Linked DNA regions of Lepisosteus oculatus. Each later gene encodes a partner of the first gene's protein in a complex. Links are inferred from orthologs where the notes say so. Each region holds a gene or a part of one and is shown on either strand. Other genes may lie near its edges. The genes, in order: ranbp2, nup205 and nup93.

What was found.
Region 2: ranbp2 (region 1) and nup205 share a complex: the UniProt entries of both Homo sapiens proteins name them as parts of the nuclear pore complex. The link is inferred for Lepisosteus oculatus from reciprocal best matches to the Homo sapiens genes RANBP2 and NUP205.
Region 3: ranbp2 (region 1) and nup93 share a complex: the UniProt entries of both Homo sapiens proteins name them as parts of the nuclear pore complex. The link is inferred for Lepisosteus oculatus from reciprocal best matches to the Homo sapiens genes RANBP2 and NUP93.

Annotation. Positions count from the first base shown.
Region 1 is NC_090708.1:24,299,016-24,310,467, reverse strand, and holds the start of ranbp2 (E3 SUMO-protein ligase RanBP2), read left to right. Parts: upstream 1-7,096; 5' UTR 7,097-7,308; coding exon 7,309-7,380; intron 7,381-8,611; coding exon 8,612-8,679; intron 8,680-8,764; coding exon 8,765-8,876; intron 8,877-9,516; coding exon 9,517-9,669; intron 9,670-11,452. UniProt on the Homo sapiens protein: E3 SUMO-protein ligase which facilitates SUMO1 and SUMO2 conjugation by UBE2I. Involved in transport factor (Ran-GTP, karyopherin)-mediated protein import via the F-G repeat-containing domain which acts as a docking site for substrates.
Region 2 is NC_090702.1:8,696,837-8,707,432, reverse strand, and holds the start of nup205 (nuclear pore complex protein Nup205), read left to right. Parts: upstream 1-6,382; 5' UTR 6,383-6,412; coding exon 6,413-6,440; intron 6,441-9,166; coding exon 9,167-9,309; intron 9,310-10,596. Other genes in the region: agk (acylglycerol kinase, mitochondrial), read right to left, coding at 688-745, 1,021-1,100, 1,639-1,708, 1,983-2,077, 2,643-2,675, 3,917-4,009, 4,108-4,183, 4,304-4,383 and 2 more. UniProt on the Homo sapiens protein: Plays a role in the nuclear pore complex (NPC) assembly and/or maintenance. May anchor NUP62 and other nucleoporins, but not NUP153 and TPR, to the NPC.
Region 3 is NC_090715.1:1,142,184-1,153,213, forward strand, and holds the start of nup93 (nuclear pore complex protein Nup93), read left to right. Parts: upstream 1-5,698; 5' UTR 5,699-5,850; intron 5,851-6,453; 5' UTR 6,454-6,460; coding exon 6,461-6,639; intron 6,640-7,164; coding exon 7,165-7,282; intron 7,283-11,030. Other genes in the region: mt2 (metallothionein-2), read left to right, coding at 1,392-1,422, 1,594-1,659, 2,253-2,344. UniProt on the Homo sapiens protein: Plays a role in the nuclear pore complex (NPC) assembly and/or maintenance. May anchor nucleoporins, but not NUP153 and TPR, to the NPC. During renal development, regulates podocyte migration and proliferation through SMAD4 signaling.

The DNA.
Region 1 (11,452 bases):
AACCTCTGGCCTGGAGACATTCATGTCCTGCCGATTGATCAGTTCCTCACATTGCTTGCATTGCATGAAAATACCGTCGAAACAGTTGTCAAATCAATCCAGATTTCCTCTTGTGATTAAAAAAAAAAGTTTCACAGCAGCAAGGGTCTGCCCCACGGCCTTGGCAAACATTAGATTGAGCTCATTGCTCACTGCTCCCTGTCCTTTTTGAGGGGGCGGTATGGTACGCAGTCACTTGATCTAGCTTGTCCTCTCACTGTGCTGTGGTCCTCACTATCCAGTTCTCGGGTAGTCAGACACAGCATCACAATTATCAAAGCAAGGCTAAAGGCAACTTCTCATCACTGTAGAGGAACTAAAATGGACGTTTTTTTTATGGCATGCACCTGGAAAAGACGAGGCACACCCGTTGCTGTGTAGCTGGTATTTGTCCGTCATGGCGAAAGAAAACTGGATCTATGTGTAGCCATTTTATGGCATCTGCCTGGCTCAGCTGGCTCGCTGTACTTTTTCATCCGAATTGTTTTACGTTACTGCGTGCAGAGGACCAGATGAGCCGAGGCAGTGCGGGCGGCTTTGCTTCTCAGTTGTGTTGTGCGAAACCTCCAGCGTGCAGTGAAGAACTACCGCTCCTTTGATTGGCAGTTGGGATTGGCTCGAACCCGTGTGCATGTGAATGGCCTGCATGAGGGCGTCTTCCTTGTCGGTTTTTGCAGACGCGTTGAGCAGAGAAGCAGTTGGGAACATGAAAACAAGCCCCCCCCCAGCTCTGTTTGACATCCCTCGCAGGCTTTAATCGTTGCCCCGAGGCTGTTGCAGAAATCGCTCCTACTCAGGTAGCAGCAGTACCTCAGTCTGCCAGTGGCACGGACAGATTTTCCAATAAATGACATTTTTTTTTGTATGAGAAAAACTGCAACAAACATCTCTTCTTGAATATATATAGCAAGGGAAGGCTCTCTGAAAAAAATATTCAAGATCAGTTTGAACACCCATCTACCTATAGAAATCGGTGTACCTATAAAAAGGCCTCCAAGACAGGGCCTACACAAGGCCTTGGGCCTACGAACCTTAATCTGGGCCTGAACTCTGAGTACAAAAGATTATTCCATCCATGCAGTGCAAGTGCCTTCACAGGCAGTAGAAGTGTTTGTAGGTACCGGAGCCCTCCCGATGAGCGACCAGGGTCCGCCCCCTTCGCCCTGTTTTGATGCACGTCTTTGTCATAGTGGCTCCTAGCACTCCGAGGAGCGAAAAGCATTTGGAAGTCGCTGCGCCCTCGCGGTCGCAGAAGCCGAGCGCACAGTTCCTCGCTGGGCACCGTTGGCTCATTTTGCTCGTCTGTTTTCTGTGCAGGAACAAGTTTGTGGAGTTTGACATGAAGCCGGTGTGCAAGAAGTGCTATGAGAAGTTCCCCCTGGAGCTGAAGAAGAGGCTGAAGAAGCTGGCAGAAACTGTGGGGAGGAAATAGACCCCCCACTCCCACCCCAGCACCTGCCCCCACCCCTCCTGGCCGCGGAGTGCAGGCCCGGCGGAGGACACTACCCATGCTGAACACATCCAGGGGGCCATGGGAGTGGCGCCAGCACACCCAGTCTTCAGCTCGATTGTTTCAATAAGAAAACATAATGAAGTAAAATAATTAATGGTCAGAATTTTCATCAGGGCTGACTTCAGTCCTGTCTTTATCTGAGGCCTTCGCCTAATCCTGGTGCTCAAACCTTTACCTTGTGTAGCTTCAAGAATAAAAAGTGCTAACAAAGATACCTAACACAAAGCAATCTTATTCTGTGTTTCCGCATTTAAGCAATGCATAGAACGAGCATTTCAAATATAAACAGCCTGAAAATGTCCTCCCCAGTTGAGTCTTTGTAGAACGTGTGTGTTCATAACATGTTCAAGCCTAAAGGATGATGCTATAAATAAGGGAAGGAAGAAAGGGAGGACTCAGTGTCTTGTGTTCGAACATTTCAAACATTTTTAACGCCCAAAGAGAATTAACAGTTTGGATCTCTGAGAGATGATATGTAATCGGTGCCTCTTAAAATACTATTTATAGCTGGGCCTTTATAAGCTTGCTGATTTTTCCTGCATGGTTTTTGTACCTGTTTGTATCCTTTGTTTCTTGTGCCTTATCAGTTTTGTACCTGTTACATAGTAGTTATTAGCAATAATGTATTTGTGGTCTGCTGTGTTTTGACAGCCTGTATTTTGGTAGTCAGATTTATACTTGTTCTTAAGTTTGAGAGACACTGCCTTAAAAACAGATTAGCCAATACATTTCATGTTTATTTAAACACATCTTCATCTCTGTCTTGATGGAGAAGGAATACTTCCTGAGGGTAAAGAGATTGGAATTGAATATAATTTCTGTTGCTAACCAGAAATTATTCACAGCTATAAACAGCCAAGCATTGTTTACCTACCCTGGAGCAGTGTTACACTTTGTTTACTTTTTTAAAGTGCATTAGTGTGGAAACAAATTAAGACCACCTGACAGCAGTTTTTTTTTTCTTCTTTCTCACCTTTTGTAATCACTGTTTATAGAGTATAGTTCAGTTGATCTATGAAAACAGGTTATTTCACCTTTCTTGCTGGCAATGCAAGACCTCTAAGCAGTCCATACTTTGTACCATCACTGTAAGTTAGTAATAAAACAGTCTGTGAAGATGTTTTGCACAGCATATCAGATTTGACTGACAACACTTGACCTAAACCATTTACAAAAGAACATTTTAACATCTCGTATTCAGATGAGTTACCAGCAGTTAATCCTGAACGTGCTAAAGAGATTTCATGAACGTCAGAAAGATGAATAAGGCTTCTTAAACGCTGCTTTTCTTTTATTAAAACCTCACAGTAAACATGAATTCATGGTACACATTCCATGATAAAATTTGACACTAAAAATGGGTGCAAATAATTGAGACATGAAATTCAAATGTGTACTGTATGAATTACTTTTTGAAGGTCAAGAATCTGAGTCGCAATGTCTTGGACTGTCATTCAACATGTTGCATGTTCTCACAGTTTGTGATGCCACACTTTTGTTTAGAAGAGCTTCTGTGCCAGTCTTGAAATTCTGCTTGTAACCATCACTGATCACTCCAATAAATATTGTACTTTATCTTTATCTGTATTATTCAAGCAGCCAGCTCCAGTATTAAATAAAATGTATATTCTCAATCTCTTGTACAGTGAAGTCATTGCAGATTGTGGTGTTCTAGTATGAGCCGCATGTGTTTGGACATTTGGTGTAACACGTCTGCCTCAGATTGTGCTGGGTGATGCACTGGAGATGTCCAAGTTGCAGTCAGATGCTACTGCCTTTTTCCATGCAGATGGAATTATTTGTTTTTCCATTAGGCCCATTTGGGTTAGCACCATTCATTCCATTCACTCCTGCTCTTTAAGGAACACATGGAGGGATCTGTAAGATTCAATGAATGGCAACTGCCTGGATAATCGGACTCTCGAGCTGAAGACAACCTGACTCTGAAATCTACACATTCACTACGACTCAATCTCCTGACATAGCCCCAAGGGATTGAATGCCATTTACATCCATTCAGCATTTAATGAACTTTATAAAATGTGCAATATTGAGTTTCAATAAAAAAGAACACTTGTGTAAAGTTGAGAAATAAAAATTGTATATCATTTACTTGAAGGGTTAAATGCCTGTAGCCTCTGATCCATGTTCATAATTCCCTAATGTGTTATGTGCATTACTGCACTGTAACAGTATAATGTGATTGTTCTTTTTTTAGTTTGCTGAAATCGTAATTTCCATTGGAATCTATACTCCCAATGTGTTTCGATTGGAGGGATAAATCAGAGGCAAAAGGCATAACTAGTGAAAACCTGAGATCTTCTCGATTCTGGGGGACTTCGTCAGGTGGTCTCTCCCCAGGGGTCTACTTCGTCCGCTGCAGATGTGTAGCCCCTCCGCACAGCAGATCTGGGGAGGAGTATGAAATACCGTCAACAGCTAAATCAAGGGAAGGATTTAGGGAGGTCAGATTATATAAGACCTAACTGGAGTTCACACTTATTTTCTTGGAAACCAAGTAGTCAGGTCCTCAAGTTTATGTTATCTGAAGGATGTCATCATCTACAGAAGTGCTGCCTATCACCAAAATGGGACACTGGTTTTGAGCTGATCCAGAGAAAGAGCTCCACCTACTGGCTCATCACCACTACTGACAGCAGAAACATGATATTCCTCAGTCTCGCTAATCTAGTAATTAATTGACCCTATAAGTAGTAGAAGTCTTAGTAACAATATTTGTCCTCAGCAGAGCAAACGGGTGTGGTTTGTTCTGGACCAGCCAGTTTTCTCATCTGCATTCCACTTGATTCAACATGACAGTTCATTTGCTATCTCAGTTTGCTCCAAATTCACACTCTTTACGAGTCTGTAGCCCTTAAATTAAGTCACCAAGAAAACCTCCAGATTTGTAGCTTTACAGGATATGAAGTGAGTGTCACTACATTAAACGTATAGACAGGACAAAACCAAAGAGATTCGGCTCTTTTCATTTCTCAGTGTAGAATGTTTGAATAACATTTCCATACTGGAGGAAAAGTTGTGAAGAATAAGTGTCCTACTAATTATTACTACACAGTTGCAATTTGTAATCATCTCTGAAAATGAGAGGTAGGGTTGAAAACTAAATGATTAATAAGTGAATGGGCATAGACTACAGAGATAAATGGTCCTTAAAATTAAATGTATCTATAGAGAGTGGTGCAGTGTTTAGCATTGCTGCCTCATGGCACTGGGGCTCTGAGTTCAGTTCTGCATCTGGGGTGCTATCTCTGTGGAATTCTCTAATTGTTCACATGGATTTCCTCCAGATGCTCTGCTTTCCCCCAACAGTCCAAACATATATTGGTAGGTTTATTGCCTTCTGGGAAAAGTGGCTCTGGTGTGAACGTGTGTTTGTGTCTGTGTGTGCCCAGCAATGGACTGGAGTCCTGCCCAGAGTGTACCCTGCCTTGCACCTGGTGCTTGCTGGGATAGGTTCCCGTAAGTAGAATATCCACTGAAAATGGATGGATCATGAGTATGGATATCCATCCATGGATGGATCATGGATAGATGTGTATATAGAAAGGTTTGTTAAAATGTCTTGGGCTTATTCACTTCTATTGCCAGCAGGAAGAATGATTTAAGCACTAATTCACAGCTCTTTTTTGTAGAGGCTTCAAAATAATTTATATTTGAGAAATATCTTAAGTTGACATTTCCTTTGAAGAACTTAGGGAGAAACTGAATTAGGTGGAAAAAATGTGTCACTTTGCCCCATATAGCCCATTTCTACTCCCCAATAGCACCACAGCTCCAGAACAAAACACTGTGGCGTCTAGGAAGAAAATCTTAAAGAGCAGGAGCATAGAGATCAAACATTTTTAAATCGATGGCTACTGCTGTTGATATCTATGTGAGATTTCTTCCTCTAGAGTAATTCGAGTGTTCACTATGTTTAAAACTCTGCAGTGGTAAGACTGCCTATACAGTACATAGGCCAAGAGACAGTGTTGTACTTTCTGATGAGTTACTACGGTGATCTTATAGCAGGTCAATACTACATTAAGCCATTTCTTTCATTTTCATACAACAATTATTCATTTATTATGACTTATTGGATTAACATACCTATTTTCCTTAGTTTCCACAATTATTGACAACAGAATCCTCTGAAAACTCCTCAGTTTTTAATTCAATCTGAAATGTATTTTCTAAGGTACATCACAATGATTTGATTTTAGAAGCATAAAGTGTGGATTCCTGACTACATGTGCATAGTTTGCTGCACATGGTTAAACTGTGGTGTACCAATTCTTGGGATTCTTGAATAATTCTACTTTCCTCCAGCACTGTGTCATTTATCTCTTAAAACCATGTACTGTGACACACTGTCATACAGCACCTCCAACTTTAAAATTAGAAACACTGCCACATTGTGGTCGATCGATTTCCCAATCGACATGAAAGAACTCAGAGTCCAAAAGTTGATTAAATGTTTATTTTACTTTGTATTGTTTTGGGTTAGTGATTTCAGTACAGATTGCCTTAAGAAGAACAATCTGAGAACCAACACTAGAAAAGGAGAAAAAAAATCTGCTTCCAGATTGCAGGAAACAATGAGAAAGTTGATTGTAACGATGCGATTCTGATATTCTACACACAACTGCATTTTCTAGAAATAGTTCTTAAGAATTTTATTCAGAATTGCACCACTTGAAATTTAAGCACAGAGGTCATAAGAGTTACTGTGCTGTTTTTTGGTTTAAACACAATAAATGTTGTAATTTTCTTTTACAAAGGTGGCATTCAAGTTTGTTGAACTAAATGTTGGTCACTGTGCCCTGAAATGTTACCCTTAAAAATATTATATATTTTAAATCGAGTGGAGGGAAATGGCTGCTAAAATTCATAACGCTTGGTCTAGGAAAATATTATTCCAATACTACTGTACTAAATCTCCCAGGCACTGTCCGTCTGCTTTTTATTAATATAGTTGTTTATAAAGGGTTTGCATTACTAATGTATTATATGGATAATTTATCACATGCAGATGATCGCGCATTCTGTCGTGCAGTTATCTAGAAATAAATAGATGTGGTCGTTATAATGACAGTATGTACTGCGACTCTTTCAGATACTTTTGTATTTTAAGAGACATTTATAAGTAGGAAGTTGAACTAAACACAGGAGTTCAATGAACGAAGTAGTCGCACATCCACCACTCAAAAAGTCGTATAAACTTCAGAAACATGCAAAAAATGGATTCAACACCTAAAGCAATAACAAAATAAAGCAGATAAGCGTTTGAAAGCTCCTAGAGGGAAAATATTAGCGATAGCGCTGAATTTGTGAGGGGAAAAAAATCCGAATAGCTTTGAAAACGAAAATAAAACCAATCTTTGCCCCGCCCTTTCAATAAATGGAAAGACTGCGTTTACTTTGATAACACCGATAATAATGAAAGCCAGTGACATCACAGTGTCCCCACAGCGCTACGCCATAATATCTTTCTAGTCTACGCCACCTCCCTCCACTTAATTTTAAAAAGTAATCGCTAGGCCCTCAGGAAGTACGTCTCCTCCTGTCAGCGACTGACGCCAGAGCTGGGCGGGCGTGTAGAGGGCTCCTTCAGCCATTTACTGTCTACGAGTGGTACAGTAGCCGCACTCGTAGGGGAGTTTGAACTAAGAAGAAACCGGGCTGGTTACTTTTTCGTATTTTTCAGCGATTAAATCTCTTGGGTGTATGCACGTTTTATTTATTCGTAACACAACATGCGGCGCAGCAAGGCCGACGTGGATCGCTACGTGTCCTCGGTGCAGAGTTCCTCTCCGTCCCTAAAGGAGGTGAGTGGAAGCCGGCATGGAGTCGCCGCCGGAGTGCCGCGGAGAACAGAGCAGGCCTCGGCGGGCTCAGTAATCAATTTGTCGGGCACGGGATCGAGGGGTGCTCTGTGTTGTGGACGCTGGACACATACGAAGTTTGAACTCGGTGTTGGGCACTGAAAACATGCTTTTGGGAGCCACGCGTAGTTCCTGGTCGAGCCCCCCTTTGCCTAGGAAAGCGCGGCGGGCCCGAATGTTTTGAAAGTGGGAGCGGAGCGCCTTAGAATCGCCGGTCCTGCTTCCTCTGCAGATCATGAGCTGCTTGTTAACTACAGTTTCAGGTGTTTCGTAATCGTTGCTTATGTTTGTGGTACTATTTTTATAGTTGACATGTACTTTACACAAGATCTTAAACTTAATTTTTGGAGGGCCTCGTCGTTTGGTTTGGTGCACTGTTACAACTACTTTCAAATGAAAACTAAATAACTGTGATGCTTCTAGAATTCTAACCAATTTCCAGAGTGTTTCATACGTGAATATTTTGGGTAATCAACTTTTTGAAAGAAAACAATCTGTATGTCTTATAACTTAGAAAACAATTTGGTTTGACTTCTTAGAATGGAAGTAGCAACCAGCTGAAATAAGACTGGATGAAAATAACATTCAAAAGGTTTAAGTACAGTACTCGACCTCACCATTTCGATTAGAAGTGTGTTTGGTAATATAATATTTGATTCTAATTGTGACATTTTGTAAAACAAATGTGAAACCACATTAGAAAAAGGGAACAGGCTGTTCTGCTTTTGATTGAGATATAATCACGATTTTTGCCTCAGGGGAAAATCAAACGTTTATAGATCTTTCCTCCCACCATTTTTATCATGGTTTGCGACACACCTATTCCTGGTGTGAAGTAAGAAATTGTTCTTTGTGCCACCTGGAACATTTTGTCCAGTAATGTATGTCTTGACTTTTTTCCTTAGAGCTTGTAAAGCTCTGTACTTTATAGATTGCTTTGTTAAAACTTTTAAAGAGTGCTGATCTAAATTTCAGTTTAAGTATCCAGTACTGTTTGTATATTTGTATAATTCAGTGATGCTTTTAAGTGACAACATTGTAATCTTACAGTCTGCTTGCAAGTTGATGATTTATAAATGTGATTCGATTTTCAGTCCCTGTTGCCTTTAATAAGCATTCGCTGCAGACAGTCCTTTGTCAGCTGGCTCACTGGTTCTGTTTTTTCTTCTTTCAGAAGCCTGTAAAGGGATTTCTGTTTGCTAAGCTGTACTTCGATGTGAAGGAATATGAACTCGCGAAAAGGTAAGCAGAAACCTTCAGGTTCTGCCATTGCGCCTGGCTGAGGAAGAAGATTTGTATTTAAAATTGTATTTATTTATTTTCTTAGACATGTCTCAGCCTACTTAACTGTGCAGGAGAGGGATCCTAAAGCACACAAGTTTTTGGGACAGCTCTATGAAGAAGAAGGGGACATCGAGAAGGCGGTGGGATGCTACAAGGTCTGAACTGCGCTTTTATCAAGAAATCTCCCCCCCCCCCCCATTTTGCTTTCCAGGCAAAATGAATGAAGAATGAAAGGGACCGTTTTAACCCAGGATATGTTGTAGTGTGATGTCAGCCCTACTGCAAGTCCAGTCACTGGGTCCATAAAAATACCTTAAGCATTGATCAATATCAGTGTTTCATTTATTTATTTTATGGACTTCATTGGGTTAAGCCGGTTTGTTCTGCATACTTATTACATTCAGATATTTAAGGGAAAAGGTATGGAAGGTTAGGTTAAATTGCTTTATGCAACTGTCTGCAAGACTTTGGTCGTTGTGTCCAACAGGTTAAAATGCACAGATCACTGTTGTAAGGAGGTCAGCCCGACAGACATACCACTTAGTAAAAGCCCTTGTATGGCTGTCGGAGTTTGCTGAGGACGTTCGCTTTCCAGATTTATCAACTGGGCAACCCTGAAATGGATGTATGAACAGTCTGATTATGTTAATGTTGAAGGTGTAAGTAGTGCAACGCACTGAACGTTTCAGAAGCTGCAGTAGCGTGACTTGCATCGGGGCCGGCAGAGACTTGTGTTGGAGATGTGTGCAGTTCTGGAGTTCAGTGGCCACGTATTTTATGTTTTGTTCAATGCAGCGGTCTGTGGACCTAAATCCTGCGCAGAAAGACTTGGTCCTCAAGGTGGCACAGCTGCTGTGCAGTAAGGATGAGCCTGATGGCAGAGCGGAGTACTGGGTGGAGAAGGCAGCCAAGTTCTTCCCTGGGAGCCCTGCAGTCTACAACCTGAAGGTTAGTGAACACAGGCGGAGCTCTGCTGGGAAGGAGGCTGCTCATGGCTTAGCTACATATGTAAGCTGGCAGTTCTTAGAATTTGATTCGTGCAAAGGGAGCCATTCAAGCCACAGATCAAGTTCCAGTTAGGCTGGTATTTGCTCATAATGAAACCAGAGCAGAGAATGTTCTGCACAAGTAAGTCACTGTAAAAAGTCTTAAGATTTTAAATCCAGCTTCTAATCACGCAGGTTGCTCTACAGTGGCTGACAGTCAGAAATCGCTTAATTGGTTCTAAGGACATCGGACTTTCACCAATCTGTCACTTGACAAGTCCAGAAACAACTTAATCAGCTCCTGGTGACAGAGTGCTAGTTGTAGAAAATGCAACGGTTGACAAATGGTTGTATTTATCAAAAGTTACATCTCCAAAGTATGTCTTCAAGTGGGTACTGAAATGGGCATGATGAGCTTCGAGGAAAGGATCGAACGTCAAATTCATGTTTTTCCTGCAAGATTATGTTACATCTTGCTGCTGCAGCAGGAAGGGCTTTTGTAGGTATTATTATTTTGTCTGCTTGTTATTTCGTGTTGTCCTTTCAGCTTCTTATCTTCTCACTGAAAGAAAGTAGTTTGCCGTCAAGTGTGACGTTTAGTCCTGGATTGCCTCTTGACCATCATGGGTTTCAAAAGATCTTGTTACCAGTGTCTGATGTTCAGAAGTACTGGGTACTGCTCACCGTTGTCAAAACCCCAGTAGCAAGATGTATCGCGCAAATAGGTGGAGTGGGTTATTGCTTCTATGTGCAATTGTTATATAAGGTTGTGTCTGAATTTGTATGTTCTTGTGTCGCTCAATGATAAAGCACTTTGTTACTGTACCAGTTCTGCTGAGTGACCACAACTTTGTCAGTTGCCAATTACTGAGTACAGTGTTATTTAAGAGATTGTAAACAGGAACTCCTGATCCTCAGAATGCTCCAGCCTTTTCACTTAGGTGCATTACCACAGGAACAGGATGTTTAACCTTGTGCATATTATCCATTTATCCAAACCAGCAATGCAGAATACCTGTGTGCAGTTATGATTAGAAGCTAGATAGCTCTGCAAAGATTAATTGGTGAATGTAAAGTGTTGAAAACTAGGAGGTTTTTATTCTGATTCATTTTAAGCAGCTTTTAAGTCTAAAATAAGTCAGCATCCTGGGAGATCTGAATGTTGCAAAACTGTACTAAAAGGATTCTCAGTTTTGCTGTGCTTCTCTGACTACCCTGCTACAAGGTGACAGAACCCACATGACACATAGCAAAGCAAATGGAACATTTTACTGGGTGCTACATTTTGTTTTCCAAACACACACAAAATAAAAAAACTTTTTGTATGTTTTCGCCTCCAGAGTTTGACAACTTAATGTGCGGATTCTGTCATGTGTTTCTGGATTAACCGGAGGTATCGCATAAGAACACCGTACTGTTCCATGAGATGAATGCAGATCCAAGCTGCAGAGATAGTTTTCGCTCTCATGTTTAAAGTTTGCACATGGAATTGCTCCAGATAATACATGAAGGCAGATGAGAACTTTCTTATTTTCATTCCATATGGATGTCCCATTTCACAGTTCTTAGTACTCGGTGCTGCCAGCATCGATCTCTTCTGGCTTTTCCTTAGGACACTCACCTGCAGTTTAGAAAGGTAAAATTAAAGACTGAGGACTTCAAACCACTGGTTTTTAGTCATTCCAGTTAAAGCACTTGCTTTTGTAATGGAAGCCTGTGATAAGGCCGAAGCCCCGGTTGAACTC
Region 2 (10,596 bases), on another chromosome or scaffold:
GTAAGGAAAACTCATTAAAAAAGTGTTGATCAGGAAACTGAAAAATGAACATGCCCCTATCCACATCAACGGAACTGAAGTGGAAAGGGTCAGTAACTTCAAATTCCATGGCGTCCATATCACTGAGGACCTCACATGGTCTCTCAACGCCACCTGTCTGATCAAGAAAGCGCAACAGCGCCTGTACTTCCCCGGCTACAGACTGTATGACCCTCTACCATCTGGAAAACGGTACCGGAGCACTCGGGCCCGGACTACCAGACACAGACAGTTTTTACCTCTGCACTATCAAACTATTAAACTCCCAGCCTCCCTTACCTACGATCTGAACCTCACAGTCCCTTCTTTCTTACCAAAAACTCAAACACACATTAAAATCTACCTCTACCTCACATGTCAAGAAGCTCACTCACCATAATTATCTATCCTTTATTTCATTCTGCACATCTTTTGCGCATTACCTATTACCTTTTGTTGTTTTGCACACTGCCTGTTGTCTCTGTCTTTCTTTTACTATACAATTGTATTGTTGTTTTTTGTACTACTTATCATCTTAGAGCTAGCTAAATAGCATTTCAGTATACCATATACTTGTATATGAGTATAATGACAATAAACTTGAACTGTACTATATACACTAAACATAAATACTGTATGTTAAGAAAAAAAGAAGCAACACCACCTTACCTTCAATGTACTGAAAAGATGAGCTGCCTTTGTTTTTAAAGGACCAAGGTACCAATATCTGAGATGGTAAACAATTAAAAACAATAAAATATACATGAAGATGTAAGATAGAAAAGATAAGTATAAAAAATATAAAAATCTACAAATGCAAAGGCCTTTTAATTTTGCATTTTAAAGCTTTTGTGCTTGGTGCTCTTATGCTCAGAATATGACTGGTTACACTGAATTTGAACAAGAAAAAAAACAACTTGCACAGGCTGTCAGGATCCAGCTATTGGAGAAATGGCTAGTTTTCAGCTGCTTTAGGATCAGTTAATAAAATCCACGGCTTACTTGCTAACGTTGGCTGTTACATCTCTGTATGCTCCCCACCTCAACCCAGTCAATGCAAAAACAGGCTGGTCTCTCTCCCCCTGCGAAGGACATGGATATATGAGTGGAGTGTTATTTCATTTTGTCCTGTGTATCAAGTTTGGCATTTTATGACCTTTCAACCAATGCATGAAATTATCTGAAAATACAATTTACATAAGATGCAATAAACACTAAATAATAAAATATAAACATCTTATGCTGCACTTCTGAATTTGTTCATTTTTCAGTGTGATTTATTTGTTACTTCTGAGCAAGTTCAACTGTTCACTTGCTTTTTGTTCGATAGTTACTGTATTTTGCTTTGGTTTACCTAATATAAATAAAGTTGGTCAAAGGTTACTGGACTGAGCTGTGTAAAACAACAATTTTTACAACAGTGAGGCTTGGAATTTCCTGCCGTCCCACCATGACCTGTCAAAATATTTACGCAAAGACTAGAGTGAACAAAACAGACAGCGAGTGGGCATTAGGCTCTAGTATAAAACATTGAAAACCCTATGACGCTCAGACTTTGTCTAGAGCTTGCTCAGTGTAAATGACAAACTGTGGAGGCTGGAACATTTAGCTCTGTCTCACCTTTATCTGAAGCACGTCGAGAGGGACAGTTTCTCCCTTCAGGATTGAGAGAGCAGCCTCAGTGATGTGTCTGAAACAATGACAACACGTGTGCCCTGAAAGTAATTCATACTCCAGTGTAACCTCATATATAATCTGTCAAATTTAGTTTCCCGTTTAATTAATCCTATCAAGACTGACCAGCAAAGTACTACTGACAATTTTTACCAAACCAAAAATAAACCCACAGTGCAAGGGAAGAAAGCACTCAGGACCAAGAGAGAAACACTAAAAGTGAACAGTAAGATTAGAACTGACATGATTTTGGTCAGGGGTTGTTTAAGTCTAGGCTTTGAGATACTCACTTCACTCTGTTGTCACTGTGAGGGTGCAGAACGTGACTCAGGGAATTATGGGTACCCAGGGGAATGAAACCAATTGGCGTTTTACTGAAGGAAGCCTTTGGAAAAAAAAAACTTTCATTAGTCTTATAGCATGGTAAACGTAACTCACAGCTTCCGTAAACATGATGTAAACTGTTAAAAATCATGCATTACCCACATGAATTCATTTTGTTCTAATGCAAATTCGCACCCCAGTGTTGAGCAGCATACAATTTATGATAAGTGATCATCTTTCGCACCTAGAAAGATCTCCATTCTCCACAATGTTTTCATAGTTAGGATCAACCTTTTTTACAGCACAGTCATGGATGCATCACTGATTTTTGACAGTGGGTTTGCTTTCAGAATACTTTCTGTATCACAGCAGCGGATGAGTTTTGATGTCACCTCACTTCCTTATAGTGACATCTACTCACATGCTAAACTTGCTTCACTCTTCACGGTTGGCTGAAGTAAATCCTTTATATTGGTTTTGGCATTAACCTCTTTAATGCATCATATGCTAAGTCGCATCACACATTGCACAAATTTATAGAGCTTCCTTTATTCAGCTTAATAGTAACTGTCTCAAAGCATTGATGTGTGTGTTTTAGTGTCAGCTCAATCTCAAACCATCCTCACCTGATCAGCTCTCCGAAGAAGGCCAGTTATCACCTACAAAAAGAAGTAACGAAACAGGTCAGTGATTTTGATTTTGTTAAATGCTCCTCTCTATTTAAATGTGCTAACTGTTAGCAGATGCGCAAGGTAGCTAAGAAATGACCAGAGAAGCCAACCTTTCAGACTCATAGGGAGTCACAGAATCCGAACAAACGTGAGAGACAAAAACAGAAAATGGACAAAGAGCCAGAAAAAGCTGCCGAGCAAAGCAGCATTGGAGCTGACAGTGGAAGCCAAACAGAGCCAAAGTGAACAATCTTTCTTCTGTTAGTATGAGTTTAATTTTCTGGAGAGGAAAATAAAGGGCTGTCATGTTATTTTTCACAATCATGTGCTGGCAGTTTTTTTATAATCAGCCTGTAACAGAGTTAAAATATTTTTTCAGACTCATCAAGACATCCCCGTTACTTATGAAGATCAGTGAAAGACCTTCTGTGCATTATTAAGATGTGACACATATGATATGTGATGTCTGAAACGATTATTTTTTACAAAATTGATCAAAACTCTTAAGACTCTATAGACAACATGAATAATTAAATTTGAAAGGGAAATGGGAAATGCATTTTAAAAATTGCATTGTCTAAGAAAGGGGTCAGTGTGCTTGTTGGCTCAGCATGGTTACATGCTGCAAGATGCATATTATAACATTTAATTCTTTATGTTGTTTTAGCTGAGTTGAACATAACTATTGCCACATGTAACCATGTTGAACAATGCAAAATTTTAGAACTCTTTCCTAAAACCGCCCTTTCAAATTCAATTCTTCATCTGACTTTATCAGACATGTTTTCAATGTCTAAAAGACACCTTCAAATGAGCTGTAGCTAACATATTCATCCTTTTGTAGACATACAGTATTTGGATGAGCTTGGAATATTTGCAGAATAAAAAATTAAGCACAGTCAAAAACATTTTTGCAAGCTTTAATACTTGGGGGGCGTGGGCTTGATTCAAGACTGGAAAGCCTTCTGGGTGGAGTCTACACATTTCAAATGTTGCAATCTAGAGATGCTCAGGTTTCCTTCTCCTGTCCAAATGAATGCTGGCCAGGTTAACTAGTGCCTCTAAAATGACCCTGTGTGCCTGCAATGGACAGGCATCCCATCCAGAAAGCAGCCTCTCCATGTGCCTCCTGATTTGCTCCCCTCCTACCAGGAATAAGTGACTTGATGGATAAGGAGCATCATCAGGTCCATCAGTAAATGCAAGTGATTAGAAACACTGTGCTGTACCTCCTGTAGTGTCCCATCTCCCCCTGCCACAATGAGGAGATCAGTATGTTCCATCAGGTCCATCAGCTTTTTTGCCTGGCCTTCATAGTCTGTCTGGGAGACCAAAGCAGCAGACGTGTTGACATGCCGAAACTCAGTGAGCTTTAGAAATGCAGAGACTTTTAATACGATGACCAGAAAAACCTACATACCTTTACAAGCGTAACCTCCATGCCACCCAAGTGCAGAATGGGGGCTGCATTTTTCTCAAACAGGCTGGTGGCTTTTCTGGAAAGGAAAAGTCCCAGATAGATGCTTAAAATGTCGTGCAGCTAACAAGCAAGGAATTGTAGTTCATACTTCTGCAAATGCATTCCGTAGTTTGGCATGATTGTCCCTTTATCTTACCCGCTGCAAGCTGCAGGGTTGAGAATCACAGTGGCTTTTTTCACTTGAACATGTGCAGGAATCCCCTGGTGACCATACTCCTAGAAATGAAAAACACAGCTTTGACATCAGTCTTGACAGTGCTAGTTATTTTTGAGGGGGGGGGGGAAGAAAACTGTACCTGGAATTTTTTTCATTGTTGCAAAAATAACTTAAAAATTGTGATGACCAAGATTATTTTGTATTATTATTCATTATTACATGTTTTCTTATATTTTTTGTTTCTTTTCACTAGTTCATCCAAATTGATTAATGCCATCTATTTATTTTCCCAAAACAATTAGTTAAAGCAAAACTAAAGATAAATTGCTTATGGCTTGAAAGAACTTAATAGTGAGTGTTGTATCCTTCTGTTCTTCATGTAATCTGCTCTTTTATTATATATTTTTTTAAAAGCAGATATAGTGATACAGTTCAACATCATTCATATCTACAGCAGCAAAAAGCAAATAAGCAGAAACCTAGTGTATTCTTTACCATGACACTTTTTCTTTTCTAGTGCCAATATGTAAGTACAGAACCCAAAACTTAATGTTTGTAGCTAGTCTTGTTGTTTCCATTAGACTAGTTGTATGCTTCTGCAGAGTAATATCCATACCTATTGTCTAGCTTTACAGGATGCTTCCCATAACCGTTACACGAAGCCAATCACAACTACATGCAACACACAAAAACAGAAATGTACACACAATACATACAGAATCTCTTACCCGGGCTTCCTGACAGGCTGCCCGCCGCAAAAGATTGTCGCTAGAAAGAACAGATTCAGAAATGAGGAAACCGGTACATTTTTTTTTACATTCTGCAGATGTTTTTAATACATCTGGGACTTCTTTTTACAAAAATGTTACATATGTGTTGCAAACAATGCTGTACATTAGCAGCACAATCATATTAACATTGTTTTAGATAAGTGCTTGGCAATTAACATACTAATTGTTCTAGGGTCGAATGTCACTGCACCCAGATATAACCGAGCTGAGCAAACAAGGACATTATGACCCCTACTTTGTTAAACAATACGAATTTTAAGACAAATTCTAAATATGCCCAGATTCCGATATATTATACACGTCTTTTGTATAACATGATAAATTATTGCACAGTAGCTATGTACCAGTGTTTTCCATAGAGCCAGTGTCCACCGTAGGATACCACACAGACCCCGAATACAGACTTCTTCCAGTGATTTCTCAAGGTCTGCAAGATTTTCAGCACCCGTGCCATGAGGAGGAAGTTAGTGACCTGTCACCAGACAACTCCGTCAACACCCTATCTAAATATAACACTATCAAGACATTAAAAACAAACAATTGCCCTTTCCCCACAGCTCACTCCGTTCTCACATGCAACCTCTAATAGTGCAGCAGCTAAAACAGTCCCCATGCGCCGGAAATATTTCTTTAGTTCCCACACTGTAGGCACGGTACACAAATCAGCGCTTATGGTTTTATGTCATGAAGACAACGAATACAAAATTGTTTTTTTTCGAAGTACAGTCTGTTTATTACATACAGTGAATTGAAAGCGTGTGGAATCTTTTTTTGTGTAATAAAATATCCATTAGTCTCACTATAAATGTCAGCACAGCTCTTCTGTCATTTATAGGGGACTTATTTATGTCCCCTATGTTTTAAACAAAAACAGACACGCATATAAACAATGTATATATATATAAACATATCTTCTTTCTAAAGCACACCAAAGCCTGAATAGGTTTTTGTTGTAAGACACGCATTATAAATCTACAGAATTGATAAAGCATTTTTTTATAGCCGGAGAAGACTACATTTCCCGATATAAAAAACGTGTTAATCTTTCTTCCGACATTCATACTGGACCCCGCCTGAACAGAAATTTAGAATGGCACTAGAAACGAGCAACAAATTATGTTTACTTGTAAAATATGCCTTTGATTCCCTGTGGAAAATTATTTCGTTGTCCACAAATGAAAACAAACACCAATGAAGACGAAATATTTTAACACTACAGCTTTAAGAATATAGCTTTTATATTTACTCAGGCATGCATGAGACACCCCTTGTCTATAGAGCCTGAGTTGACTCCAACATGGCTGCGCAGATGGCGGTAAATTCAGGTATATTCATTTTAAAATGTATATATGTATTAAATAATCATATTAAGGACATAAAGTAATAAAAACAGTCCGTAATAACGGTGCGTCTTAAATATATAACACACATTTTCGTATAACTGTTAAATATTTATAGAAAAAGCGACCAGTAATACCACCGGCAGCATTTCTTGTGTTGCATGGGCACACTAGTTCTTGTGATGAGCCATGCTATTGCAGAAGCGGTGTTAAAAGAAAGCTTAAGAATACAATCGAAGAACAAATGCATGCGCCCCACAGTCGTTCAAATAGGACATCTTTTCGTGTCGGGATAGGAAAGTAGCTAGATGTGATCGGGAGAAGTGCCTCTTTGCTGTTGACGGAAGTTTTGCGTTGAGCTATTTTGAAACGAATCTGAAACTAATCCTGCTGGTTGTGTGGTTGTGATTGATGATATTTATTTATGTTTTTGCATTGTACTTCACCTGATTTGTTAATGATTCATATAAAACAATAACAGAAACAACGCCAGTATTGTCAGTCGTAATTAAGAAAATTACGTAGCGTTATTCGCTTTATTTAGAGTTTTGCCAGTACTGAATGTGAAATTTAGAAAAGGTGCATTTTTTTATTTGGATAGATTAGGGTATTCTCTGAACAACTTGACGCATGGTTTTGCGTCAGTGAGAAATCACTGTAACGACATGAACTGGTCAGTGGAGATTGACAACGTACTGTATGTATTCTTAAGTAATGTATTGGGATGAATTTAGACACCTGCTGACAGTTCACTATAATGCCATTATTCTTGCACGGGACCGCTTGTCTTGATTGTGTACGATTCTTAAGAATTTGCATTTCTTTATTGTGCGATTTGAGGCTTGAATATAGAACCGCGTTGTTAGCACGCGAGGGGAATCATTTTTGTTGCAGTTAAATGTTTTGTTCCTTGTATTTTGTTAAATTAGTACTATTGATTATGTGTATGTACAGTAAACCCTCGGATTAACGGACTAACAAGAGGGGAAAAGGGGTGTCCTTAATTGACGAATGTCTGTCAGATCAATTATGACGTTTTTCTGTCCCAAGACACACATGTATGCATATAAACTGTACTATACGTTTTATCTGAATAGTTTGTCTTATTTTTGACATTTTTGATCCTAAATATACAAGCTCCATTTAATAAATCATACGTATACGTTATAATATTCGCTAAAGTTTACGAAAAACAGATAAGCAATTGACTTTACTCCTACAGAGCACCTTTGACGTTCCTGAATTTTAAAACTATGTAGTATTTGTTTTTAAATCCGGTAAATTGATGGTTTACTGTATACGCAAAATACACTTTAAATGTCTGTAGTATCTTTACTGAATGTCTGAATAAAAGAACGAGAGAGATGCACAGATATGTATACTTTGAGTACATTGTACGCACAGAAAGAAGACTGTCATGCTGCTCTGATGTTTTTAATCTTACAAAACGTAATTTCGGATGACGTTCTGAAGATTGTTCCATAAATATTTTTCTTATATTTTGCTCACATCACAAGGGAAAATTTCATAAAATATTTTTTATTCAGGGTGGTTTGCATTGCTGCCTCACAGTCCAGGGTGTATCCCTCCTTGCACCCGTTGCTTGCTGGGATAGGCTCCAGCTCCCCTGCGACCCTATATTGGAAAAAGACGTTAGAAAATGGATGGATATTTTGTTTCAAGGGAGATGGCGAAAAGTCTAAAATGATTAGGTGTTCTAATACTTCTATTACTTAATCAGAATTATGATCAAATAAGTGGGTGCTGCATTTCAGTTTTGCATAAAGTAATGGGACTCTGCATTATAGAAGGCAAAAAATTACTGTGTAATAAGCCTGCACATAATAGAAGATCAGGTGGTGAAGTGAGAAATCGCTTAATTTGAATGAAGTAAAAACTTTAGGTAATTGAGATTTTGCAAACCCAAGATTTTGCATAGACAGTATTTACCATATTTACCATACTGGGGTGTTGGTTTGTAAATTCAAACCAACAGCCCAGTTCCTTGTCTAGCTTTTGCTATCAGATAAATCAGGCTACAGGGTGGTAATATTAAGGTATGCAATGTGAATAAAAATACATTGAATATTGAGACCAATCTAAGTCACCTACAGCTGTAACAATATAAAGTCTACACACATGATACAGAAAAGACAGCTGTATCCCTAATTACAAATCACTGTTTTCAATTAACATTGAAAAAACAAGGAAATGTTTTTGAAGTTCAATCCTATCAGGGCAAGATGCATCTACTTCCTTCTCAGGTCACTTCTGATATTAAGACACTTGTTGTTTCAGTCTCGTACTGTCAGCTTAATTCACAAGCTGTTCTTCTGAAGTAAAAATGGAGAACGAAAATTAATTCACCTTTGACTTCCATACATAGTTAACCATATATTAATTTGAATAAAGCACATAGGATTAGCAAAGAATAGGTGATGCAGTGCAGATGAAAATGTTTGGAATGTGGCACAGCTTTTTTATTGTTAGGAATTAACCTTTAATTGTTAGGGGCACTAAATTAAAAATATTAAAAAGGCACCTGTTATTATTACAGTACAACGTACACAAGTACTGTCTTTTCGGTACTTTGTTTGTTTGAGGTGATGTCTAGGTTTTTTCTCCCAAAGAGAGAGGTGTTAGTTGCTGTACTTCCTGCTGATGGGGATGGGTTTTGCTTGGCCTGAGCTGACCTCCTCTGCCCCTTTTAGGAGCCAGTCTGTGGGGGCCGTTCAAAGAGTTCTGGGAGACAGTGGTCAGTGCCATCTGGAGGAGGCAACCAGAGGCCGTGCATCTCCTGGACCTGATGCTGAAGAAACACAAGCCCCACTTCATCTCACTCTTCAAGAACCCGGTAGGGTGTGAATTCTTGATATGTTTAACGTGTGGTCACAGCGGCGTTCACATGCTGAATGCCTTTAGACAATGTGTGGAGGCAATAAAGACGGCAAGCAAAATTTCAGGATGTCTCATTAAAAGTAGGTAGCTGCCTCAGCATGCGTAGGCTGCAAAGGAACAAGTTAGTGATTATTCCATGCTGAAAAGAGAAGAAAATAAATATGTTTCGGCTGTTGTTTCTTTTCTTCTCTTTTCAGCATGGAACGAACCTTTACTTTGTTCCAATGCACTGTTATGAACGTCTTTAGACTTTTGGGCGAAAATGTGGTAACCATCTTGCAGATAAGATGTTGCTTCTTGAAGATCTAAATACAGAGCCCTTTTGACTCTTCAGTGACATTGACAAAGGAAGTTTTAACTATCTAACATATTTTCTGCATTCTGTCTTTGATAAGCTATAAAATCTTGTAACATATTGGAGTACTCCAAAAGGATGTTAATGTTGATAAAGACAGTTGGTGTATAGCTTTATGCAGGTTTCCTTTTTAAATACCATTTTGTTTTGTCCTCTGTATGCTTGTAAATATGTGTCTGCTATATAACATGACTTTAAAAGTTAGTTATAAAAAATGTATTTTTCTATGTCATCTGTATATATGACTTTATTCACATGCTGTTGGGAGGTTTCAGATCTTTTTCTTAAATAAAAAAATGTTTGGAGAGTGATCATTGGCATATATGATGGGGGCGGAGCGGTGGCTCTGTGGCTAAGGATCTGCGCCTGTGACTGGAAGGTTGCTGGTTCAAATCCCGCAGCCGGCAGAGGAATCCTACTCCGTTGGGCCCCTGAGCAAGGCCCTTAACCCTAACTGCTCCAGGGGCGCCGTACAATGGCTGCGCTCTAACCCCAAGCTTCTCTCCCTGTCTGTGTGTCTGTGTCTCCATTGAGAAAAGCTGGGGTATGCGAAAAGACAAATTCCTAATGCAAGAAATTGTATAGGACTAATAAAGAAACATAAAGAAACATATTCTGGAACTGCCCTAAAATAAGGCTTTTCTGGAAGGAGTTACATGAGGCCCTGGAAACGATATTTGAAACGAATGTACCCTTTACATTTGAGGCTTTATATTTTGGTAAACTGTATTTTGATTGGAGGCGAACTGATTAATATTTGTTTGGAATCCTTATATCAGCAGGGAAGAAAGCTATAACAAGAACGTGGCTTCTCCCAGATTTACCAGCGATGAATGATTGGATTGAATTAATAAAGGAAATATATATAATGGAAAAATGAACATTTTC
Region 3 (11,030 bases), on another chromosome or scaffold:
AGCCTTCGCGCGCTTTTTACTGTTTATTTGCATTTTATGTTATTGAACATGACATGAGTGAAATCTGAACAAATTAGAACTACCGAAACTCAAAGTACTTCTGAATGCAATGCTGCAAATATGTCAGGGGAGAAACAAAATGCGCCGTTTTTCAGAAAATTCTACCACCTTATAAAACAAGTTCGCATATTCTTAAACTGCAGTGAAAACTGTAAAATTGCAGCAATGGGTACAAAGAAAAATACCGTATTCTAAAGCGGATGATGGATTTAGGCAACCACGCAATTACAACATTCAACATATGTCATTACTCGGGATCTGTGGACCCGTGAAGTGTTGTTCTAGACGGTGTTTTCTCCTAATTATCGCCAACCAAAAGGGAGGGGATGAACACGCCGCGAGCCCGGGGCTCGTGCTCTCGCAGTGCCGTGTGCAGAGCCCCGGGAGTCATGGTGACGCAGCGCTCCGGACTCCCGGCCCGCGTGCAGCGGAGAGAGGGGCGCAGCGCTGACCTGACTCGAGCGCAGCTGCGCCAGACAGACAGTAAACACGCGTGTAGGTGGGAGAACAGAATCACCAGACGCCAAGACACCTTGTGCACTGACGAAATAAACACGTCTTTATCTGGCCTTAAATTAATGGGTATAAAGATAACGGGCAAGCGTTTTTCTACCAAGACTTATTACAGTAACTCACACAATTAATAAGTACCATCATTTAAGTATTGTACGTAAAACCATAACTTAGGATTTTATGATTTTTTATATTAGAATTCTATTTTATTAGCATATGCAGCTCACTAGATCAGAAGGTTTACAAAGGATGCCCAAAGAACTTATAATTATACTGATTGATTGTAAATTAATTAAACGGCAATAAATCTTTTGTTTTAGTTATAATCGGTATCAGTTCTCATTATCACATTCCACTGTGCACGAGAAAGACGTTTTTGTTTCGTTTGGAATATACAAATAAAAATAAAAAACATTCTACATCATTTTATTTTCAGGTTTGGGTCTAAGGTTTTGCGATCGATCGTCACATCAGTTGACCATTAAGAAGATCCCCTTATGATCGAGTCATCGCACCGCGTGCACAACAACGCCAGCAGCAGACTGACGACATGGGAATACTGTTTATCCCCTGACGCCCGGAGGAAGGCCCTCAGCCCCGCCGCGGTGAGACGCTTTGCACACCGCCTGGCGACGGGAGCGCTGCAGACAAGACGTGTGCAGGCCGGCCCGTTGTTGACTGCGCGCGCTCCGCTTTGCACTCGGCGTGCCGCGAGCGGCCGCCCTATAAATACCGCGAGCCGCCGGAGCCCGGCACGCACTCACAATCCCCGGAGCCCGACGAGGAGGAAACGCGAGAAAAAAAAATTCAATTAAAAAATGGATCCTCAGTCCTGCGCCTGCTCTAAAAGTAAGTAACGATCTGATTTATAGTGGTTAATAATGTTTCTGACTTCTGCCTTGCAAATAGACGAAGTAAAACGTGATGGAGACGTTGATGTGATGGAAACGGCGTCCTTGGGTTACCTGTGGTGTGATCTATGTTTTATTGATTTTCTTTTGTTTGTTTTATTTTTCACAGCGGGCTCTTGCAGTTGCGGAGACAGCTGCAAATGCACGGATTGCAAATGCAAAGGCTGCAAGAAAAGTAAGTTCTCGCCCTGCTGGTGCTGCTGCTGCTGCTGTAGGCTTGGGAATGGTTTAACGTGCTATAAAATCCTTTCGGAAGCTCCAGTGGCTATAGAAAGCGCTGTGCTGCAGAGCTGGAGGTCTTCACCTGCACTGGAACAGCACCGCTTGGGCTCTTAATATGGTCTCGCACCTATCAGAACTGTTGAAGTAGGTCAGCTCTTTAAACAAGATGTCATAATTATAGACTGAAAGGGGGAATATAACTTTAATTTCGCAGTAAAACTACGAAAACATGAAAATGCTACGCTATTAAACCATGTATACTGAAACAAAGTGTTGGTTACTATAATAACTAGTTTTAGTGAAACAATGTAGCTGTAGCTCCTCTGTGCGTTTGATTTACCAAAACAATGCGGCTCAGGTGGGCGTGCGCCAGGTTAAGACTCGCCGCTACAGACAGCCCTGAAGTACTGGCAGTTCTATTTTCCTGGTGTTCATTGTATGTCCTTGTTTTTCCCTCCACAACGTGGAGAATAACGCGAAAGAGTGCTCCGCGCGAACGGGTGGCCGGTAACCCACGCGACCTAACCGCCGGTTTTGTGCCCGCAGGCTGCTGCGCGTGCTGCCCGTCCGGCTGCGGCAAGTGCGCCTCCGGCTGCGTGTGCAAGGACGGCAAGTGCGGCGCGAGCTGCTGTCAGTGAGCACCTCGCCCTTCGTTTTCCCTCTTGTATAACTGCACTTGAGAATCTGGAAATGTAATGTTTTGTACGTCCTTTTGCTTTAGAAAATAAAAAGATGTCGTTGATTGCGTTCATTCTGTTCAATTGCTCTATCGAACAATGCTGGTTTATTTTAAACCAAACGCGCCCTTCATTGGGGATCATTAAGATGGTGGCTATAATGATAATTCCTTACACTTCTGGAGACTCCACTCAAAGCACTTTTCAGGTAATGGCGATCCCCTCCACCACCACCAGTGTGCAGCCCCACCTGGATGATGCAACAGCAGCCATAGTGCACCAGAACGCTCACCACATATCAGCTATCAGTGGGGAGGAGAGCAGAGTAATGAAGCCAATTCAAGATGGGGGATTATTATTAGGTGGCCATGATTGGTAAGGGCCAATGGGAAGTGTGGCCAGGACGCCGGCCATGAAGGCTGTTCGAGCCTGGCGTGTTAAGGCAGTCCTCCAGCTCCATGAACTACAGCGCCCGTCAGTCGGAGCTCCTGCTCTGCTCCCGAGAGGACTGACACCCCCTGCGCTTCAACACCCTTCCACCTGCGCTGGTTTATTTAATTCGCAAGTTACTTGAGTGGCACCTGTATGATGAGGGTTTTTCTGCTTGGCTCTGAGATCTTGTTAACCATGGAACACAATAGTTAGAACTTCTCCCCTGTTAATTAACATCAGAAAACCACGAGTTCATATTAACCCAATTACCTGGGCAAATAAGGGTTCAATCATGTAACCTAGACTGGGAACTCCCTGAAATTGTATCAATGCAGTAGTTACGGAAGATGCATCTTAAATATTTACCTACAAATCATTCTCATAGAAGCATAGACATCCAAAAGACCGGGACAGCGATTCAACGAGTGTGGAGCGAGCAGGAGCAGGGGTACGAGACTACAAGAGTGTGGATATCGACGATCGAGTAGCGATGACAAAGCACACAGCCCAGCTGGGCCTCTCGCAGCCAGTCTCCTGTGTTCAATTCAGCATTTTTCAATTGACAACTGTAATTGTTTTATAATATTTTTGGGGGAATTTAATTTTTTGTGCGCAGTTCAATTCCCTATGTGGGTTGATTTCATAACTTGTGTGCGTGCGCACACGCGCACAGCTGAGAGGGAGCATTGCTCCTTGAGCATTTTACAGAATGTTTCCTGATCTCCTCTGTGAAACTACAGTCTGAACTTGGCTTCCACAGACAGCCCAGGGAACCTGCAGAGCTTTGCTCTTCTAGTAAAAGGAAATATTTTGAATACTATGAGAAGGAAATAATTGTATAGTATATATCTCCTCTTAATGCAACATTAATGTATCATGATGTTCCACTATGACCAATAAAACAGTTATCACATGTTTAAGCACTGTTAAGTTATAGGGCTCTGGTGTGAAGTAGTGACCTTTAAAATTGTAATTTAAAAGAACTACTGAAGTTTTTGCTGAAGAGCACAGCGTTATGCTGGTCAGTGTTGTTGCCTCAGGAGATCTCGTGTCCTGAGTTCAGTTCTGACCTGAGATGCCTGTGTGTGGTCTGGCGGGCTCCTCTAGGTGCCCCAGTTTTCTCTGTGACTGCTGGATTAGGCTGTGGCTCATTGTGACCCAGGAATATTCCCTTACGTATGCCTTATAATTATTCAACATTATAATCCTCAAGGAGCAAACAGAACTCATATAGATCAAAAGAAAATGTCAATTGAAATAAAATCATTCATAGTCCAAGATGGAATGAAAACCGGATCAAGCTTGTGCCTCAAGAACCGAGAGTGAATATATAGATCAGGATCCAGCTGCTAGCGATAATGACCTCCAAGATCTCATGGATCACCGACTATCTGACAGGCAGACCACAGTTTGTGAGACTGCAGAACTGTGTGTCTGAACAGGTGGTGAGTAACACAGGGGCTCCTCAGGGGACAGTTCTTTCTCCGTTCCTCTTCACCCTCTGTGCTTTGGACTTTAAGTACAACTCAAAGTCATGCCACCTGCAGAAGCTCTCAGATGACTCTGCAATTGTAGGATGTATTGAGGGTGGGCTGGAGGAGGAGTACAGAGGACTGATTGACAGCTGTGTGGAGTGGTGTGGGGAGAACCACCTGCAATTGAACGTGGCAAAGACGAAGGAGTTAGTGATAGACTTCAGGAGGAAGAGGGTCCAACCTACTCCTGTGTGCATCCATGGGAGTGGTGTGGAGATAGTGGACTCATACAAGTACCTGGGAGTGCACATTGACGATAGACTGGAATGGTCTAAGAACACCGAGGCCAACTACATGAAGGGTCAGAGCCGACTCTACTCCTTGAGGAGGCTCAGGTCCTTCAATGTGTGTAGTAAGATGCTTCATATGTTCTATCAGTCAGTTGTAGCGAGTGCAGGTGTCTAAGCAGCGGTGTGCAGGGGCTGCACAGGTTGAACAACCTCATCAAAAGAGCAAATTCTGTCATTGAGTCTGATTGGGTCCCTTGGAGGTAAGATAAGATAAGATCACTTAATTGGCCACATACAATTTCTTGTATTAGGAATTTGTCTTTTTGTATTCCCCAACCTGCTCTCCATGAGACACACAGACAGGGAGAGAAGCTGGGGGTCAGAGCGCAGTGTCAGCCATTTATACGGCACCCCTGGAGCAGATGGGGTTGAGGGCCTTGCTTAGGGGCCCAACAGAGTAGGATTCCTTTGCGAGCCGTAGGATACGAACCGGCAACCTACTGGCGCAGATCCTTAGCCAAGGAGAAGAATGGTGTCCAAAAATGGACAACACCTCCCATCCCCTCTATGACACGCTTGTGAGAATGAAGAGCACGTTCAGCAATAGGCTGATCCACCCGCGGTGCGACAGGGAGTGCTAGAGAAGGGCATTCTTGCCTTCTGCCATTAGACTATACAACTCATCCACTGTGTGTCTGGGCAGGGGAAGGTTGACTAAACATGAATTCTCTGTTTACAGCTGGTTTTTCTGTTTACAACTGATGTGCAATATATGCTGGTGGATTTGTGCAATATATTTATACTGTGCAATACATCTTGTGTACTGCAACTCTGCATACTCCATTTTTTACTGCACTTCTCACTGACTTTATTGTATTGTTGTATTATTGTATCATTTTGTTACACTGTGCTGTGTTGAGTGTGCCTGGCTGTTGTTGCACTGCAATTTCTGCAATTTTAATAAAGTATCTATCTAATGGGTTGGTGCACGTAATCGCCATTGCGGCTCACAGTTCTAGAGCCAACATGGCGTCGGCCTCACGACGCGCAAGTGCGAAGTGCGGTGTTTGTCCTCCCCTGTCATTCAATAAAGTTATATTGAAGGCGCTGAGGCCTGTGGGAGCAGTGGGGTCCAATGAGAAGAGGGTTGAGGAAGTGCCGGGAGGAATGTGCTCCGCCGAAGGAGGGATACAGTTAGGCGAGCTGCTGTCAAAATATACATCTTTTTAAACGCGATATCGAATAACTTTACTTAAGTCTAAGGTAGAAGGTGAGTAAATCCTCGTATATGATGTTTCTAGTTCTGACAGAGGATCACTACGGCCTGTTTTTTCTCGACATCTTAAGCGCCGAGCTGGTAATACGCACGTTGGACAGTGGTTACACTGCGATTATTGTCCGTTATTGATCTTAGGCTTATGTATTTACGGTTTTCCAAACAGCATGATAAATTGTAAAAGCCTTTTTTTTCCCTGCACAAAATAGTTTCAGATTTCTGATTACGCGCTGTTTTACTTACAAGTCTGGGAAGAATGGCCGGGTTTCAGTCATTCAAGACACCCAACTGCGCTTTTGCTGTGTAAAATCTGGGCGCTGAATACTAATATTTTTTAAAAAATTCCCACGCTGATCTGAATTGTGGTTTGCAGGGGCCCCTTCTTTCAGTTTTTAAAGACGGGTGTATGAAGTTCTGTTATTTTGATGCTCCATCGGTGCCCGTTGTGATATCGGCCATTGTACGTTCATCGGTCCCCCCTGGACCGAGGAGATGCCTGTAGGTGACTGTGGTGTCAATAAGTGGATAGTGTTCGTCCTGAGAGCGATGCGGCCCAGAGCTCCCGCCCTCAGCTCGTCCCGCCGCTCCTGCCTGCAGGCCGGCCATGGACGCGGAGGGCTTCGGAGAGCTGCTGCAGCAGGCGGAGCAGCTGGCGGCCGAGACGGAGGCCATCTCGGAGCTGCCCCACGTGGAGCGCAACCTGCAGGAGATCCAGCAGGCCGGCGAGAGGCTCCGGTCGCGCACCCTGACCCGCGCCTCCCAGGAGACGGCCGACGTCAAGGCGTAAGTGCTGCGGCGCTCGGGGGGGGGGAATCTGAGCTCCTCAAGCTTGTCGTCTTGAAAAAGAGCAGCATTGAAGTAGTCTTGTTCCCCAGACCTGTCACTGTCCCTGTCTCCTGATGCCTGTGCCCTGTTCGCACTTCTGTTCATGCTTGCCCTGGCTTCCCTGCCAGAGGGCAAATGTGGTTACAAATGGTACTCGTCTTCAGGGTTTAAGGAGGAAGACTTGCCCAGTTATGAGTCTGCCCTCCTGCCATAGTGCTATTGGTTATGTCATGTAAATGATCTTCTCTTTGCAAATGTGATGATGAAGCTGATAATGTGCAACATTGGGCTGCTTGCTTTAGTAAAGACAGAAACCAGAAATAAGACTCTTAACAGTATAGATACATTTTGTATAGCTCATTTCCCTGACACACTTCAGCTGATTCTTGCCTCTAATGTTCTACACCCATAACCCAAACAGAGAGCGAGAGCTCAGAGTTGGTTTGTGTCCACACTATGCCCTGACTGGCCTGTCTGTTTCAGCTCAATCCTGCTGGGATCCAGAGGACTGGACATTTTCCACATCTCTCAGCGCCTGGAGAGCTTGAGCGCGGCAACAACGTTTGAGCCCCTGGAGCCCGTGAAGGACACGGATATACAGGTACCGTGCTGGTCCTGAGAGGGATCCTGGGTCCTGTGTGGGTCTGGTGATGTGTTACTGGGTGAGGACTGCTGTCTGCTTTGCACCGCTGTGCAGACCCATTGTTAGAAGGCCTTGTATCCGTTCTTCTTGGGTACCATAAAGTCCTTAGACTTAGAAGCCAGAAATGGCTTCTGTAATTGGTGCCAGGTGTGGAAGGCAGGAGAACTAGTCTGTTCCACCTGGATGCTCTTGGGTTTGTGTCCTTGGTGTGGGTGGTGCCACGGGTCTCAGAACTGTGACCTTTGGACACTGGGGGGTGTTCAGAGGTTCTGCTACTGCTCCTGGGCGGACTGATCAGGTTCAGTGTCTCCTGGCACTGGGCTAGGCCCGCAGAGGATCCGGTGCGCAGTGCCCTGCGGTTCAGAAGCTGCCAGTCCAGTCTGGGTCGTGTCACTAGCGGGTTGTGACAGGGAGTCCCCCAGCAGAAGCACACAGCTGTCGTGACGGCTGCCAGAATACTGCTGGCGTTAGCTGACGTGATGCAGCAAGGGCTGCTGGGACCTGCCTGGTGCCCAGCAAACATGCAGTGACATCAGGAGGTGATGTACCCCCCCTGCAGCTGGCATGGACTATCTGACATGAATCACTTCCTAAACTGGATACAGATAGATGATAACATGGTCGAAAATTCCAAATCAATTTAAAGGCAACAATTTTAACTTAAATGTCTTTCTCGTTAGTCACAGCTCCTGCAGATGGATGTTTGATTTATCCGATTGAATTCACACATGTGGTTTGACTACAGGTTTAGTCAATGCTGTGCGTTGACAATGCTTCTGATCTGTTGCTTTAGTTGCGTACACTGTCGCCCTTGTGTGGGTACAACAGGGCTCTGTGTGCTTCTTTGTGCTCAGTGCAGCCCAGCTTGTGTTTGGAAAGGGAGTGTTGCAGTAACATCACAAGGTTTTGTCTTTTGTCACGGAGAACTTGCTTGTGCTTGCCCCCTGCCTGTCCTGAGTGACCCTTCTTTTGCTGTGCAATACCCCAAAATCAAGCTGGCAGTTTGCAGCCGAACCCCAATCGCCGCCGAGCCTACCTGCAGTCCGGTGGGACCTGTTACGCCTCGATGCTGTGTCTGTGCTCGACCCGGGACGAACACAGTAGTGTGAAAGGGGCATGTGGGACCCTGAGATGAGGCTTCACCAGCCTGGAAAAGGGCCCTTCGTGCTCATCTCGGGGTCCTTGGTTGTTGGAGTGTTGATATTTAACACTACGGTTGTAACAGGGTTGATATTGTAGTGGTCTGATTTTGTGTTTTTGTTGTGCATAGTGGTACTGATTTCTCACAGCTGCGCTGTCCTGCCTGTCAGTATGGAACAGAACAAGCTGAGTTTCATGGTGTTGCAGTCCGTGGTGCACTGATGCTTCAGATGGTGCCTCTGGCCCTCGTGCTGGTAGAGTCCCGCTGAAAGAAGGGACCTCTCTAGACGTAGAGTTTGCTCAAAGCAAAGCAAAGCAAAGCGAAGCAGGAGATTTGTTTCGATTCAGTAGCTGCGAGATCATCTGAAATGAAATGAAAACGTTTGGAAAGGGAAACGTGAGCAGCCGGTTGCTCTCTAAGTGGTGCTGGCTTAACTGACCAAGTGGACCCCCCAGTCTGATCGAGGCTGCTGTTGCAGGCCTTCACAAGCTGCTGATTTAGCAGTGACCTGTAAGACCTGTTGGATTTTGGCTCTCCAGGATTAGGGTTGGACAACCTTGTATAAAAGGGTTAATAGATGATACAGCGTATCATAATATATTTACTTTTTTTACTCCTTTCACGTTTCTCTGCTGTGTTTTAGTTACTTCATTTCTATTTATATGAGAAATAACTGGCCCTGAGACATGTGCTTGAATTGCCCTAAGGGGTGCAGTTTGCGTGTCAATTTTCTGGGAAGAAGAGGAAGCGCAGAGTAACAACTGTGTTGCTCCTCAAGGAGAAAGTGAGAGGATCAGGCTTGAAATTAGACCTGAAAGTGAGGCGTCAACAGTTTGTGGTCACTGGCTATTGATCTCTGCTGCGAGGCTTGGGCGAAACCGAGATGGAAGGGGACGCTTGAATTAAGCGTAGCGCCTGCGTCCATGCCCACGCCAGCGTGTTACAGCGAGCTGATGCGGAGATGTGGCCAGATCACTCCGTATCGCTCGGAGGGCTAGGGTGTGGTGGTGTTCAGATGAACTGCCCACGGGCCCAGGCGATGTCCTTGAGTTCTGTCATCGAGCACTGCGATCACAACCCCCCCGACCCCCAGTTTCCTCATCGTGGGGTCCCCCCCCCCCCGCCAGCCCACTGCTGTGGTTCTCATTTCTGTGAGGCGGGGGCGGCCAGCCTGCGAGCTGTCAGCGGGGCGAGGCGATCAGTCGCAGGCCTGGGAGGGGGGGTGATCACACTCTTCTCCCGGAGTCTTTGTGTGGCTGCGTGGGGGATGGTGCACGCATGCTAATGAGTTAATGGGAGCCTCATGCAGCTGCCAACTTGGATTCATAAACTGCTGATGTTTCTGCAGAGCTGTGCCATGTTTGTTCCTGAATGCTGCAGCTTCAAAAACGGAAACGTTCCCCCCCCCCGTCTCGGAGGGTGTGGAGGCTGTGCCGCAGCTCTCAGACGCGGGTCAACGCGTGGAGTTTCTTTTAACAAGATCTGGATTGATTTTCAAAACCAGAATGCACTGAGTGGGAGGACAGGGAAGAGGGCGCTCATAAAACCTGAATCCAGAAAAGGGCGACGATCATCTGACCTTTTCTGGACGAAGAGTGGCTGCAGTGATTTTGGGATGCTGGTAAACTGCACCTGGCCGCAGTCTCCAGGCAGGAGAATAGAATACATGTTTGGGCCACCCTTAGACTCAGAATTGAAAAACGTCATGTCCGCTGACAGGTCGTGATTATCTGGGGGCGATCAGTGGGCGATCGCACCAGCCGTCCGTGAGCAAGTCCGTCATACCCCAGTGCTCCGTTGCTGGACCCCACCTATGGCATGTCTGCGGGGGTGTAGGTGCCTCGGTTGGCCGAGGACAGCAGAGCGCACTCTTTGCCTGGTGCGGTGCTGGTTCTGTGCTCGTTTAAAGCACATTAGCTGCTGTGCCACGCTTTTACAGCAAGGAACAGTGTTGTCTGAGGCTTCATCCCGGTCGGCACAGCTGTCCTGATTGTCTGGCTCTGTAGAGGGTCCAGAAAGTACTGACTGCTGAAAAGGCTGGATCAGGCCCTTAGACCAGAGAGTAGGTCACTGTCAACAAGAACTGTGGCTTTTCGCCCTTTTTAGTTTATTAATCTATTAATTAATTTACTAGGACTTTTTTTTCCATTTTACATGCTTGTTGTGAAACACTGCCCGAATGTAGTGCAGAATAACACTGTGTTAAGCTGGGGATTCTGACACAGGACACATATAAATGGTTGTTATGATTTATAGCCATAACATGTATAGAACAAAAATTACCCTCGTACAGACACACACACTTATTTTTTTCATCCTTTATCCACACACAGTAATATTTATGTATGTACAGAATACTGAGGGTAAGAAATCATGGATGACCTCTGTCCTGTCCTGAGGAAGGACCTGTGCGTTAATTCTGCGTCTGTGTGTTACTGTGTACGATTGCCATGGTGGGATGCCAGGGGCCGTCTGGGCGCGGCGCCCCTGGGGGGCCGTCTCTGACGAGTGCTGGGGTCTCGGCGTCACCATTGCCGGGCAGTCCCGGTCTTGGCAGGTTGGAGG